Linked DNA regions of Sus scrofa. The protein of the gene in region 1 interacts with the protein of each later gene in a pairwise test. Links are inferred from orthologs where the notes say so. Each region holds a gene or a part of one and is shown on either strand. Other genes may lie near its edges.

Evidence for each region. The genes of interacting proteins can lie anywhere in the genome.
Region 2: the proteins of AES (region 1) and HNRNPF interact in binary tests that used the Homo sapiens proteins (3 or more experiments, as listed by UniProt). The two-hybrid records come from large-scale screens. The link is inferred for Sus scrofa from reciprocal best matches to the Homo sapiens genes TLE5 and HNRNPF.
Region 3: the proteins of AES (region 1) and KIFC3 interact in binary tests that used the Homo sapiens proteins (3 or more experiments, as listed by UniProt). The two-hybrid records come from large-scale screens. The link is inferred for Sus scrofa from reciprocal best matches to the Homo sapiens genes TLE5 and KIFC3.

Annotation. Positions count from the first base shown.
Region 1 is NC_010444.4:75,495,088-75,499,002, forward strand, and holds part of AES (amino-terminal enhancer of split), read left to right. Parts: intron 1-944; coding exon 945-1,008; intron 1,009-2,351; coding exon 2,352-2,396; intron 2,397-3,093; coding exon 3,094-3,156; intron 3,157-3,915. UniProt on the Homo sapiens protein: Transcriptional corepressor. Acts as a dominant repressor towards other family members. Inhibits NF-kappa-B-regulated gene expression. May be required for the initiation and maintenance of the differentiated state.
Region 2 is NC_010456.5:61,664,974-61,669,497, reverse strand, and holds the start of HNRNPF (heterogeneous nuclear ribonucleoprotein F), read left to right. Parts: upstream 1-1,552; 5' UTR 1,553-1,641; intron 1,642-1,969; exon of another isoform or gene 1,970-2,037; intron 2,038-2,595; exon of another isoform or gene 2,596-2,686; intron 2,687-4,524.
Region 3 is NC_010448.4:19,693,133-19,697,814, reverse strand, and holds the start of KIFC3 (kinesin-like protein KIFC3), read left to right. Parts: upstream 1-1,710; 5' UTR 1,711-1,823; intron 1,824-3,617; exon of another isoform or gene 3,618-4,682. UniProt on the Homo sapiens protein: Minus-end microtubule-dependent motor protein. Involved in apically targeted transport. Required for zonula adherens maintenance.

The DNA of each region.
Region 1 (3,915 bases):
AGATTAACTAAGCATCTATTGGGTACTTACTGGATGCTAGCATTAAGAGCATTTCTGGTCTTAATTCATTTTACCATCCTACCCTGGGCGGTTGGTACTCAACAGATTCAGAGACCGAGGCCCAGAGAGGTAGAAGGGTTTGCCCAGAGTCACACAGCATCAATGAACCAGTCTGTCTGGCTTGAATTTGAGCTCTCAGCTTTCAACCTGTCACCCTCATGGCGGGGGGCCTTTGAGAAATGCCCTAAGCTCATCTTTGCTGGAGGAGCCTGAGAGAGGACAGTGGTCACCATCTCTATTACCTGATGGTGGAAATTTACACACACACTCACACACACACACACACACACACACACACACACACACACACACACACACACACACACACACACACACCAGGGAAATCAGGGCCCACAAGACAGGCTGGGTGGTTCCTTGGTAAATCCAGTCCTGAGCCCTGCCAGTCAGCTCCGGCCTTCACAGACTCTGGGCAGGATCTATTTATTCCTCCCTTCCCTTGCTGGAGAGTTTGCCCCAGTAGTTGAGACCGTAGCTTCTGAAGCCAGCTTCTGGGCTGTGTGACCTTGAGCCTGTTCACTCAGCCTCTCTGGGCTTCCACTGCGTCATCTGCAAAAGGAGAGTGACATTAATAGCCTCGACCTCGTCAGGTTTCAGGATAAGTAAAAGTTTCTCTGAATCCCTGTCTGACCTACAGTCAGGGCATTTGCTCTGACTTTTGTTATTTTTCTTATTATTTTCATGGCTTTCTTATTAATTTCATTATTTTCCCCAGCTCTCAAAGGTTGGTTTCATCATCCCCATGTTTTAGTTAGGACACTTGATGCTCCCCCTGCCCCATCTTCATAGAGGAGGAAGTGTCTGTCCCCCTGCACAATGGGGGGAAACTCAGCCCAGCCCCCTCCCCTCCCCTTGTTCTTCTTCAGTCTGAAACTCGAATGTGACAAGCTGGCCAGCGAGAAGTCAGAGATGCAGCGTCATTATGTGATGGTAAGCCAGCCCCAGGGGCCAGCAGGCAGGGATGGTGGACCCCAGAGCCCCCTCTGGCACCAGCAGCTGCTGCCCGAACCCTGGCCACCTCCTCAGGGATGTGCGAGGAGTCAGGGTCTGCTCTCCATTCAGCCAGCCCTTGGGCCGGGCTCAGTCCGTCTTGCTGGCCTGGCTGCCGGCCCAGGCAGTGGCCGAGGTGCCAAACCACCGGGTTGCAGCCTGGGCCTGCCAGGTCCCCCGGCTGTCCTTGGCAGCCGTGGAGGCAGTGGCTGTGAAAGCCAGGAACTGACGTGGGGGAGCAGCCGGATCCCTCCCCGCCCCCATGGTCCTGGCCTCCCAGGTTTAACCCCTCCTCACCCAGGCTTGGCTGGCCCCAGGACCCCTGGAGGCCCCCCTCTCCAGGGAGGAGGCTGACACTCTTCTGACACTCTTGCATGGGGGGGGGGGCTACATTCGATACCCTGCCCCCTTGCACACCTCCAAAATCACTTGCTCAGCTTCATACCCACCAGGCGGCAATTTCTGCATCCAAAACCCCTGCCTTGGTCCAGCCAAGAGCCCACTTCTCCCAGGCTATAGGGGAGGCAGAGCCACACATTGAACCTCTGATCTGGCCTCAGAGGGACAGGGCTGGGGCAGAGAGAGGGACTGGGGGACTCCAGAGGAAGGTGCTTCTAGTTTGAGCAGCTGCATGGACAATGGGGCATTGCAGCTGGGGTCTTGAAGAATGAGTAAGAGCTTGCTGGGTAGAGAAGGGGAGACCACACAAAGGCCCGGGAACAAACTTGACTCCCCTCCCCCTCCCCCTGGGTGATGGGGAACCATGGGATGGTTTAGAGCAGGGGAGGGGCCAGGGTCAGATATGGGGCGTGAGGAGGGGGGCTGCTGGCCTCAGAGGCAGACCCAGCAGGATTTGTTTATGCTCAGATTATTTATACCCAGGAAGGCAAACTTCCCTGAAGTCAGGGCCACCCGCAGACAAGACACATAAAGATAAAAGATTAGGAGCCTTGGAATGTGTATGAGTTGGAGAGGCCCCCCCATCGTTATTCCAGGAACATGGGCACCCAAGCCACTGCTGGGGCCCTGATGCTTCCCGAGGCTTCCCCAGCAGAGCCCCCACCACGCACCTGGACCCTGTTCCTGGTGTGGGTGTCTCTCCCCTTCCATTCCCTCCAACCTGCTTCTCCATCTCTCTCGCCTGCCTTTCCCTCTGGCTGTCTCTTGATTTCTTCCCTCTCTGCCTCTTTGTCTTTCCGTAGCTCCCCCCATCCTTTGTCTCTCGAGCCCCCCTATCCTTCACCCGCCCCCATTTCTCTCTCTCTCTGTCTCCCCCCACACAGTACTATGAAATGTCCTACGGCTTGAACATCGAGATGCACAAGCAGGTACGCCCCCTCCTTCCCCCTCTCCTCCGCCCCATGCCCCACTTGGGCACCCCTAGGCAGGTAGGAGCCCGCCCTTGGCTGAGCACCAAGTCTGCCCTGGTATCCTGTTACCACCAAAGCCCCTGTTCTGTTCTTTCTCTGGCCTTCCTGGGAGGTTTATCTCCGGGAGGGGGAGGGGCAGAGACTTTCCTGGGACCTGCCACCCCCATCCCATTGTCTCCCCTTGTGAAGGGGCTTGGGAGGGATGTGGGGGCGGTGGATGGGGGTGGGGATGTGGAGGTGTGTGACATGTGCCAACATGCCCTGGGGCCCCCAGATTGCCCCTCGCCCTCTGGCCTTGCTCTTGCCACCTGTGCCCTGGCGAGGCCAATATCAGGTATGTTGTGAAATGACGATGCCAGCCGTCCCCTGCCACTTGCTCCCTCCCTCCCATGGAGCACTCACTACCTACTAAGAGCTGAGCATCATCTTTCCACTGCCACCGAGACCCTGGATTCCCTCTGACCTGTGCTCTTAGCTACAGGGCAGAGATCCAGCCTTGGATGCCACCTTTAAAGGTGCCTGTGAGCCTGAAGAGTTGATCCACCGTGGGCCGAGCTGGCCTTCTCTCAGATTAGACAGAACCCCCGGGCCTCCTAGGGCTGGTCTGCACCTGCCCCAGCTGCCCGCCCAGGACTGAAGCGTCTGTGTGTTCCAGGCTGAGATCGTCAAGAGGCTGAATGGGATATGTGCCCAGGTCCTGCCCTACCTTTCCCAAGAGGTGAGTGGATCCCCCAGGGCTGCAGGGAGGAGAAGGTAGATGGACCTTGAACTTTCCTCAGGCCCTCCCCACTGCAGCCAGCCATCAGGCAGGCGGCAGAGAGCTGGGTGCCCCAGGGCACATGCCTTCCTACTCTGGACCTCCCAGCCACTAGCCAGCCTGTGCAGAAGAATCCCCAAGCTGGGAGTTGTCACTGTGGCTCAGCGATGATGAACCCAGCTAGTACCCATGAGGACTCGGGTTCGATTCCTGTCCTCACTCAGTGGGTTAAGGATCTGACGTCGCTGTGAGCTGTGGTGTGGGTCGCAGACATGGCTTGGATCCCAAGTTGCAGTGGCTGTGGCTGTGATGTAGGCTGGCAGGTGCAGCTCCAATTCAACCCCTAGCTTGGGAATTTCCATATGTCGCAGATGTGGCCCTAAAAAGATTTAAAAAAAAAAAAAGAAGAAGAAGAATCCCCAGGCTGGAGAAACTCCAGGGGTGCAGGGTACTGAAGGGAGGGGCCTCACCCTCTGTGGAATTCCCAGCCCCAGTGAGTCATTTCACATAAAAAATGTCAGCTATGCCACCAAAGACTGCACCAAGAATCTCGTTTCCTTGTTTTGCTTCCGCCTTTCACCCTCCTGAGATTCATCTGTATCTGTGGGGCCTTCCTGGCCCAGGAGAAGGGCATGTGTGCATGAGGAGGCTCTCAGGACATGTATGCAGACATCCAAACACACAGATAGGCATAGATGCAACACACAGCACACAGACAGA
Region 2 (4,524 bases), on another chromosome or scaffold:
AATCAAAAAGGCCACTTGGGAGTTCTGTCCTGGCTCAGCAGTAAGGAACCCAACTAGTATCCATGAAGACGTGGGTTTGATCCCTGGCCCCACTCAGTGGCTTGAGGATCCGTCATTGCTGTGAGCTGTGGTGTAGACCTCAGCTTGGATCCGGTGTTGCTGTGGCTGTGGGTGTAGGCCGGCAACTACAGCTCTGATTCAACCCCTAGCCTGGGTGCGGCCCTAAAAAGACAAAATAAATAAATAAATAAATAAAGCCTACTTGGCTCATAGGCCCTCTTTTTTTTTTTTTTTTTTTTTGTCTTTTTGCCATTTCTTGGGCCGCTCCCGAGGCATATGGAGGTTCCCAGGCTAGGGGTCGAATTGGAGCTGTAGCCAGATCTGAGCCGCCTCTGCAACCTACACCACAGCTCACGGCAATGCCGGATCGTTAACCCACTGAGCAAGGGCAGGGACCAAACCCACAACCTCATGGTTCCTAGTCGGATTCGTTAACCACTGCGCCACGGCGGGAACTCCTCGCAGGCCCTCTTAGTGGATTGCATGAATCTGGTTTCACAGTCCCTAAACCCTGAAGCATCTTTTTTTTTGCAGGGGTGGGGTCGGGGGTGGGGTGGTAATTTAAATATTTGCCTCAGATTAGCTACTTGCACTTTCTTTCCATAAACAGACTTTTCTATACCATGAGCTAGCATGGGATCATTGGGTTTCTTAAGAATACCTATTTGAATTTTGTAGGACCTGTTTTCCGTAATTATGCTTCGCCTGAGTCTTCTCATACATTTTTACCTCCTGCTTTTACTTTTCCCATCCCTCCCAAATCAACTTCTTTTGACAAACTGTTCTCCTTCCTTCACTATAGGTTGTCCATTCATAATCTGACCCTATTCCAAGCACTCCCTTAATTTATTTAAAAAGCAACCTGCTTAATCAGTGATGAGTTTCTTTATATTTTCCTCTTCATGAATTGAGTCTCCAAAAATAAAATGGTAATAATTAATAATCCTAGAACACATAAAAAAATAATCTGCTCCACTGCCTCAGGCAGAGTAGCCACTTCAGCTACCATCCACCCTGTCGCTCAGGTGCTCTGAAATGTCTGCTTTTCCCTGGGGACTTGAGGGTCACCTTCAGAAACCTTAGGCCTTCTCAGCCCAAGTGATAATCACATGAGCAACCTCAACCTACCAATCCCTCCCTAAACCCTGCTCTCGGAACAGCCTTTGTCGGTTTCCAGGATTTGGTTCCCTCTTTCTTCCTCCTCGGCAGGAAATGACTCTCATTTTCTTCTGTCACGCTGGTCTTCAATCCAGGGATCCTTTGGGCTCACTGTTGGGGAAACTCTCCCAGATGATACCCTTAGAGACGCCGGAAAAACCCATAAGCCTTGCCCTCCCCTCCCTCGAGCAGGATTCGCCCACGTAACCCACCTTGCCACTTGCAGCGCCCTCGCACCGCAGGCCCCGGCCCGGTCCTGCGCCTGGCCGACCAATCCCCGACTCCGCTCCGGGCGCGTCACAACGGCGCCCTTGTGGCCCCACCCCCATAACCCGCCTTGGAGACTCCGCCCCGCCGCGGTCTTTACGTCCTTCCGGCTCCGTCTTGGAAGTGGGGTTGCGCCGCGTCTTTCAGGAGCGAAAGGTGGGGTTCTGCAGAGAAAACGGCCCGCGGTCACGCCGGCAGCCGGAGGCGGGGGCGGGGGCAGGGGCTCCTGGGGCTGTTGTTCCCGGGTATTTGGGCGCAGGTCTGAGGAGGGGAGGGTCAAGGCAAACCAAGGCATAAGGGCTTCCGGAAGCGCCGCGTGCGCACGACGGGCGGGAGTTGTGGACTCAGGCCTTCCGCGCGCCTGACCCCGCCCCTCGTAAGCCCCGCCCAGGGCGCGCTGCCAGAGGTTTCCATAGTGATGGTAAACAAGCCTCAACTGCCTCTGCTACAACTGCCAAGTCCCCCGCGTTCCACCCTCTTCTAGGTGCTCACAGGGTCGACCGAGGTGCCGGATGTGAAGACGAGCGGGAGCGTGGAGACTCGGAGCCCAAGGTGAGGGGTGGTAGGGGCGGCGTGTCCGAGGCCTACACACCAGAAACCGAGGCCCCTGGCATTGAGGACCGAGGAGCTGAGATTTGGGGGTCAGGGGAGGCGGGATCTGTGGTAAAGGCCTGCACCTGGGCCTACTGGAGGTTGAAGACCGTGGGGCTGAAATTTGGGGTCTGAGATCAGGAGCCACACACCTAGGGACCGACTAGGTCCTGAACGAGGACCTGGCCCACTGAGGGTGGGGCCTGCGGGACTGAGATGTGAACTTCGGGGAGGTGGGCCTGAGGCCACTGGTTTACATTCGGGGACTGGATCGCGGGGCTGAGGTTTGGTGTCAGAGGACGCAGGATCGGAAGGGAGGAAGAGCCTGGTGCGGACTCTTGGGGTGGGGAGGCAGAGCCCGAGCGCCCCTGCCTGGGGTACGGTGAAAACATGGGGCGACCGTGAGAGGGGGTTCATTTAAAAATGAAAGCAGTACTTTCACGTGGCTGCGCGCGTCAGGGAGTTGCACGGGACTGGTTGGGAACTGACTCCTCCCCCCTCCCACGTTCCCGCTCGCAGAGCCTCCACTTTCCGTCTTTGCGGCCTTTTCTTCCTCTCCGCGCCGCGTGTGTGCCCTGAGCCGGTCTGCATTTGTCTCCTGCTCTCAAAGGTAGCATGTGGATATTTTGGTTGAAACTGTTCGGTTCTTGTTGTCTTTGCCTGGTGCCCACACTTCCGCTGGGGAAACTTGGTCGGCCGTTTTTTTATTCTTCACTTATCCTTTTATCTTTGAGTGTATTTTTGCTAATTCGTGACTGCGCCCCAGAAACTGCTGGACGCTGCCGGCGCTCGCGCGGCTCCCTCTGCCTCCCAGCCCCCGCGTGGCCCACGTAAGGTGGCGCCGAGCGGTCTGGGTGACGCCGCGCGAGACGCGGGGCCCGACCGACCCTGGGCCCCGGTGTTTTACGGTTAGGAGGCCTCAAGCTCCTCCCGGTTAGTCTTTTCCTTATCAGGGGACCCCCACAGGTTCCCGCCGGACGAACCTCAGGCCCGGGAGAGCCTGCCTCCCTTCTCCGGCTACCTGCGAGCCCCGCGAGACGCCCTTCGCGGCAGTTTCCTTCCCTTGGAGGCCCTACGACAAACCAACGTGCTTCACAGCTATTTTCGAGCCAGAGAACCTGGCGTGGGGGGAAGGAGTTGCCTGCCTCGGCGGGCGGGTTGTTCAGCGGGACCGGGGCCCGAGAGCTGCTGTGGGGGTGGGGGAGGGGCCGGGTGGCCGCGGCGGCTTCCGCGGAACCGGCCGCGGCTGGCGGCGGTGGGGGGAGGGGGGCCCAGGCTCCCAAAGTTAGGGGCGGGCCTCGGTAATCGGACCCTTGTAGAGCCGGGAGAGTTAGTTGAAGGCTGCAAATAATCCTTAAACGAATGCGTCAGCGAAACTACCGGTCTTGATATTCTTACTATTACTTTTAAGTCACGTTTTTAAAAGTTAACTATTTGTGCGTTTCTAGTAAGAATGAACAAACCTCGGGTTCTCCGGTCAGACAAAAATATTAGGATCTATCAGTGAAAAGTGATGTTTTCAGTTCTAATGAAGATAAGCTCCTTCATTTTAAAATAAGTAAATTTACTAGTTAAGCAAGTTCGGCCTTTGCCTCGGGGAGCTCCTCTTAATAGTATGCGTTTCTGTAAATTGATTAGATTTATTCTTTCCGTGTTATAGTCTACTTTTTAATTTTTAACTGCTAAGCGACTGATTTTCACTTGAGTATTGTTAACGTACCTCCCTTATAAAGTAACTCAAGTAAAAATGAGAATGGTTTAAGGGGAGGGATTGATTAAACAGGAGGAGAGTTAGTCCTTTGATAAGGTCAAAACTGGGGAAGACAACAAAAGACAAAAAGACAAAAAACAAAAAGACAAAAAAAAAAAAAACTGGGGAAGAGTGGAGACACACGTGGTGCGTGCCCTTTGGAGTAGTGCCTGGTGGGGCTACAGAAGTGGGAGGGGGGCCCCCCATCGACAGAGGTGACTTTCCCATCAACCTCCCCTCTCCAGTCTGAGTTTTGGCTCTCAGACTCTTTGTGGAATCACACTGATTGGCCCTCAGTAGTCCAGACACAGAGCTAGGTGTTTTACACTTTTCTAATCACATGCCCGCGATCAGTCCATAAGGAGATATTACTGCTATCCCCATCATACAGATGTGTCCTAGAACACATCTGGGACTGTTCTTAAGTCTGTCTGACGTGGGACATCCCTCTGCCAGGACCCCTGCCTCCAGTTAGTTGCTCTGAACAAGGGTTCTTGTGGAAGACAAACGATTGGGCAGAGGGAGAACCAGGTTCATGGATTTTTTTCTCCATAAGTATTTGTATATCTAAGGACTTTTAAAATATAACACATTACCGGAGTTCCCGTCCTGGCGTAGTGGTTAACAAATCCGACTAGGAACCATGAGATTGCGGGTTCGGTCCCTGGCCTTGCTCAGTAGGTTAAGGATCGGCGTTG
Region 3 (4,682 bases), on another chromosome or scaffold:
GCCCCCTCTATTGCGCCTTTGCTGAGGCATCTCAGTGAGAAAATAGAACGCTGGAGCCCAGTTTTTGTTCTTTTTAGGGCCGCACCTGCGGCATTTGGAGGTCCTGCTAGAGGTCCAATCGGAGCTGCAGCTGCTGACCTACACCACAGCCACCGCAAGGCTGGATCCTTAACCCACTGAGGGAGGCCGGGGATGGAGCCCGCATCCTCATGGATGCAAGTCAGGTTCGTTACCACTGAGCCACAACCGGAATTCCCTGGAGCTCACTTTTATTAGAGGGATTGTGAGTGTCCTGGTCTGGCCTGGTCTGGCATCCAGAACAATCTGAGGCCCAGAACCTTGGCTCTGTCTCTGGTTGAGATTCTTGACCACTAGCCCAGCGCCTGCCCAGCGGTAGGAGACAGAACCCATCTGGAGCTGCATGGGCCCCTCCAGTCCTCTCCTGGCCCCTCCCCAGTTAAGCAGGAAGGGGCAGCACGCGCATCCCCCTCGGATTATCTTCGGAACCATCAGCCTGCACTAGGCTGGCTTCTGAGTTTCTTTCCTCTCTCCTCCTTCCGCACCCTGGAGGGGGAATATTGCTGCTGACTCTGGAGTAAATGCTGCCTCTGTTTGGGAGACAAAGAACAGAGTGGCTCCTCCGGGTCAGCTGTCTCTCCTTGGCTGGTCGGCTCCCTAGCCTCCCCCAGGCTTCTTCTGGGGCATTCTATGGGGGGGGAGGGGGCTTCCGGGGCTGCAGTGGGAGCTGCTGCTTGCTCCAGAGCAGCTACATTCTGTACATGTTTTCACGGGAGCTTAAAGGAATATTTTACCTTAAAGAATCTCAAACATCTCTGCTCTGGAAAGGGGGCTGTGGAAGGGGTAAGGAGGGTGGGGGACAGCAGGTGGTGCCCTGGCTGGGAGGCAACCTGGCCTGTGTACTCCTTTTAGAGCTAGCAAGATGATGTACGTGAAAAATGCCTGTGCTAACGTGTGACACTATGCATGTGCTAACTAGAGCATATGTGAAAGTGTGTCCCGGGGTTTAAAAGCACGCGTAGGCTGGAGTGTGAGAAAGAGTTGGCCATCATGTGAGAACATGCATGTGTGCAAGTGGGTGTGTATCCTAAGGAGTGTGTACAGCATTTGTGAGAAAGCATGGGGTAACGTGAGTGTGTGAGAATGTGCAAGTGTGCATAGGTACTAGCTAGAGTATGTAAGTGTGTGTGCTATGAAGTCAAGTAAACGTGTACTGGAGTTTGTGAGAGCATGCGAAGGGCAGCAAGGGAGCACTTGTGAGAAGTGTGTGTGTGAGCAGTAACTAGTGCAGTGCGTGTGAAAGTGAGGAGGTGCGTCTGAGTGTAAGTGCAAAAGCATGCGTGTTGAAATGAGCGTGGGAATGTGTGTGAGAATGTGAGTGCCTTCATGTAGACTCCCTAGAGCATGTGTGCAAATATATGTGAGTGCCGTGCATATGTGAGCACGTAGGACGGTGCGTGTGCGCCCGGATGAGCACGCATGTGTGCACAGGCATGTGCGGGGGGGGGGCGGGGGGCTTGGGGAGACCCAGCGGGAGGGTCTGTCGAAGTGGGCGGTCCCGCGTGTGAGTGTGTGAGTGTGTGCAGGAGCGAGCGCGCCGCCCCCCCACCCCCAGGGTCGGAGCCGGTTGCCATGGGAACGCGCCGCGGCCTCGAGTTAATCATTTCCTGTGGAAAGTGTGCGGGAGGGGCTGGAGCGGGGCGGGCCGAGGAGGCAGCGGCGTGGAGCAGCCTCCCGCCAGCGGGCCGGGCCGGGCCGAGCCCCGGGCACTGCGGCGACACCGGGATCCTGCCTCCGCTAGGCCGGTGAGTCCGGGGCTCCGGCGGGCAGGGGGCGAGCTGGGCTCTTGGGGTCCGCCTGACCAGTCGTTTCGGGTGCCGCGTCTGGGATCCCCCTGCCCCGCCCCGCTGGGGGGCGCGGGGAGGCCGGGCCCCGGCGATCCACCCCTTTTCTACCCTCTCCCCTCGCCGCCCCCTGCACCGTCCAGCCTGAGCCGAGCAGGGGAAGCGGGCGGCATGTCCCCTGGGATCAGAACAGCCTCGGGGCCACCTATCTGATTTCAATGGCCAGGGAAGCCGGACACTACTGGGGAACTACGTGCCGGTCAGCGCCGCCCCCTCCCCTGGCAGAGGTCCCTGGCATCCGCAGGGCTCCCCTGAAGGCTGCCGTTTCCGGCCCTCCCATCTCGTAAGCCCCTGGGCAGTTTGCTTCCCCCACCCCCGGGGCCCGGGCCGGGTGGGGTGGGCCCGAGGTTAGGAAGGAGCGCCTGGGCCAATGGTCTCCTGGGCAGAGGGGGAAATTGAGCCTTTGACAGCAGCTGCCTGGCGAGGAGGGGTCCCAGCAGGGAGGGCCAGGCAGAAGCCACCTCCTTCTACCCCCTGTTGTGAGTTAGAGCAGAACTCTGGCGCAGCAAAGGGCCTGGTCCTGGCAGATTTTAAAGAGGAAGCTGCATTTAAATTCTCAAGTACCGCCCCCCCCCCATATGTCTCAAGGTTAGGGGTCGTGATTACCCCTGGTCTGTCACCTTCCCTGGCTTTCTGTCTGCCTGAGACTGAGTGAGCACCTCTGCAGGCCCAGGCTATCCCCCTTGCCCTTGGTAAAAGTAGCCTTCTCCTTGGCCAGAGAGTCATTGGCAAGGAATGCAGTCTCAGAACGGAGTCCTGTATTTGCCGTGACTGGACTTTAGGGTGTGGGGCAATGAGTTCTGCTGTCCTCTTGGGTACCAGGGAGCAGAGGTTTCGAAATCTGGGTTGATCTGTAAAACCTAGGACGCGTGACTGTGCGCAGAGGAGGTCTAGCCCCTGTCCAACCTCCCTGACCTTCTGCCCGCTCTCCCAGGGAGACTAGGCCTTCCCGGCAGCAGTCTTTGGGCAGGTGTCACAAGTCTGTCCCCCAGTCATTGCACTATCCCTGGTCGGGGGGCAGGTGGGGGGCGGGGAGGACGCTGCAGCTCTACAACCCTGGCCTAAACCCATAGAGGCAGATGCCCCTCGCCCGCAGCCAGCCCCTCTGGCATTCACCCACCACTGGATAGAGGCCACTGAAAAATAAAATTGGGAGGTTCCCTGTAGACGCCGATATGCTTCTGAACATTGTACATAGGAATTGTCTAAACTTTACACCGATCCTATAAAGTAGCATTCTCCCCATTTCGCAGATGGAGATAATGAGGCACAGAGACAAAATAATTTTCCCAGGGTGGCACATCTAGTAAGTCGCACAGCCTGGTTCAAAACCAGCTTTTGGTCATAACCACACTCCTTGTTGGCCCCCATCCCCCTGCCCAGGACCTAGGCTTTTGAGTCTCCAGCCTTGGGCTGTTGTAAAGTCTTTGATACTTTTGACCTTCACCCCCCGCCCCCCCCCCCCCCCCCCCCCGCCACCCAGGCTGCTAAATTCAGCTGCTTTTTCCTCTTCAGGAACTTGCACACACCCTTCCTCGTTCTTGGTGATATCTTCCTGACTGCCTCCCAATTTCCCTTCCTGAAAGCCACGAAATACTGTCTCCTTGGGTCCCTGCCCCTCCGACTTCGCTGATCTCTTTGAAAGTCTTCTCCCTCAACCGTGGAATTGACCTTCAGGGCCCTTCACTAGCTCACCTTCCCCAAGGCTCCGCATGCAGGTGCAGCCTGTCTTGCTCCCCCCTCGCCCGTGGGGCAGCTGGTCCTCAGGGCTGCTCGTGGGTCCAGCTCTATGCCCAGCAGCCTGGAGAAGGGGACAGCTGGCTGCTCCTCCCAGTTCCTTCCCCTCCACGCTGGTCCTTCTCCATTTCCTCAGTGGAGCTGCCTCTGCCCTGACCTTTGGCCAGCAGTCCCGCCCACCTCCCAGGGAGACGGTGCCCAGGAGCTTCTTCCAAGGTGTCTTCCACGGTCAGGGAAGGCAGAGACTACAACGCCCTAACCAGGAGCCTGGCATTCTTCCCGGGGCTCAGCTCTGTGAACTTCACTCACCAGATCTTCGGGCCACCTATCCCTGCTCTCTGACTTCGTTGGCCTCTTGCTGCTGCTTTAGTCATTCCTGCCCCTCTATCCACCCAGCATGTGGAAATCTCTTATTCTAAATACCACATCCTCGCCTTCCCATCCAGCCAGCTTCCCTAAGAGGAGGAAGTGGCAGCTTCCGCTAGCTGCCGCCCATCCCTTGGGTCTGCTCCACTGACCTTCTCCCTTACAGAGCCCCCAGGGGCTTTCTTCCAGTTTGACCTCTCCTTTCCATTCACTCTTTGGTCACCTCTGAGGGCTCTGCACCTGCCTGATGCCTCTACCACCTCCTCCTCCATCTTTTCTTCCCGCCCAGAGTGAGCTCCACCCTCCCTGGTTGCCTCTCGTCTGGTACCACCTTTGATGATTGCATCCTTCCCTGTGGCACCGTGACCCCTGTCAGCCTCTGAGCTCTGTGTCTCCATCACCAGCCCTCTTCCAAGCTTCGGTTGGAACTTCTGGGTGCCTTCATATCAGAGCATTCATTCCCTTGGAGGTGGATGGAGCTGCTGCTCCAGGCTGGGTGCTGTGAGCCCCACCCTGGGGAGCCATAGAGGGTCCAGGGAGGTGGACAGCATTTAAATGGGGATCTTGACTGCCTGGTAGAGAGCAGTCTGTGCAGTGAGAGATGGGGAAAGTGGTCTACACCCTGGAGCCATTAGGAGGTCCTTGGGTGCCTCCAGC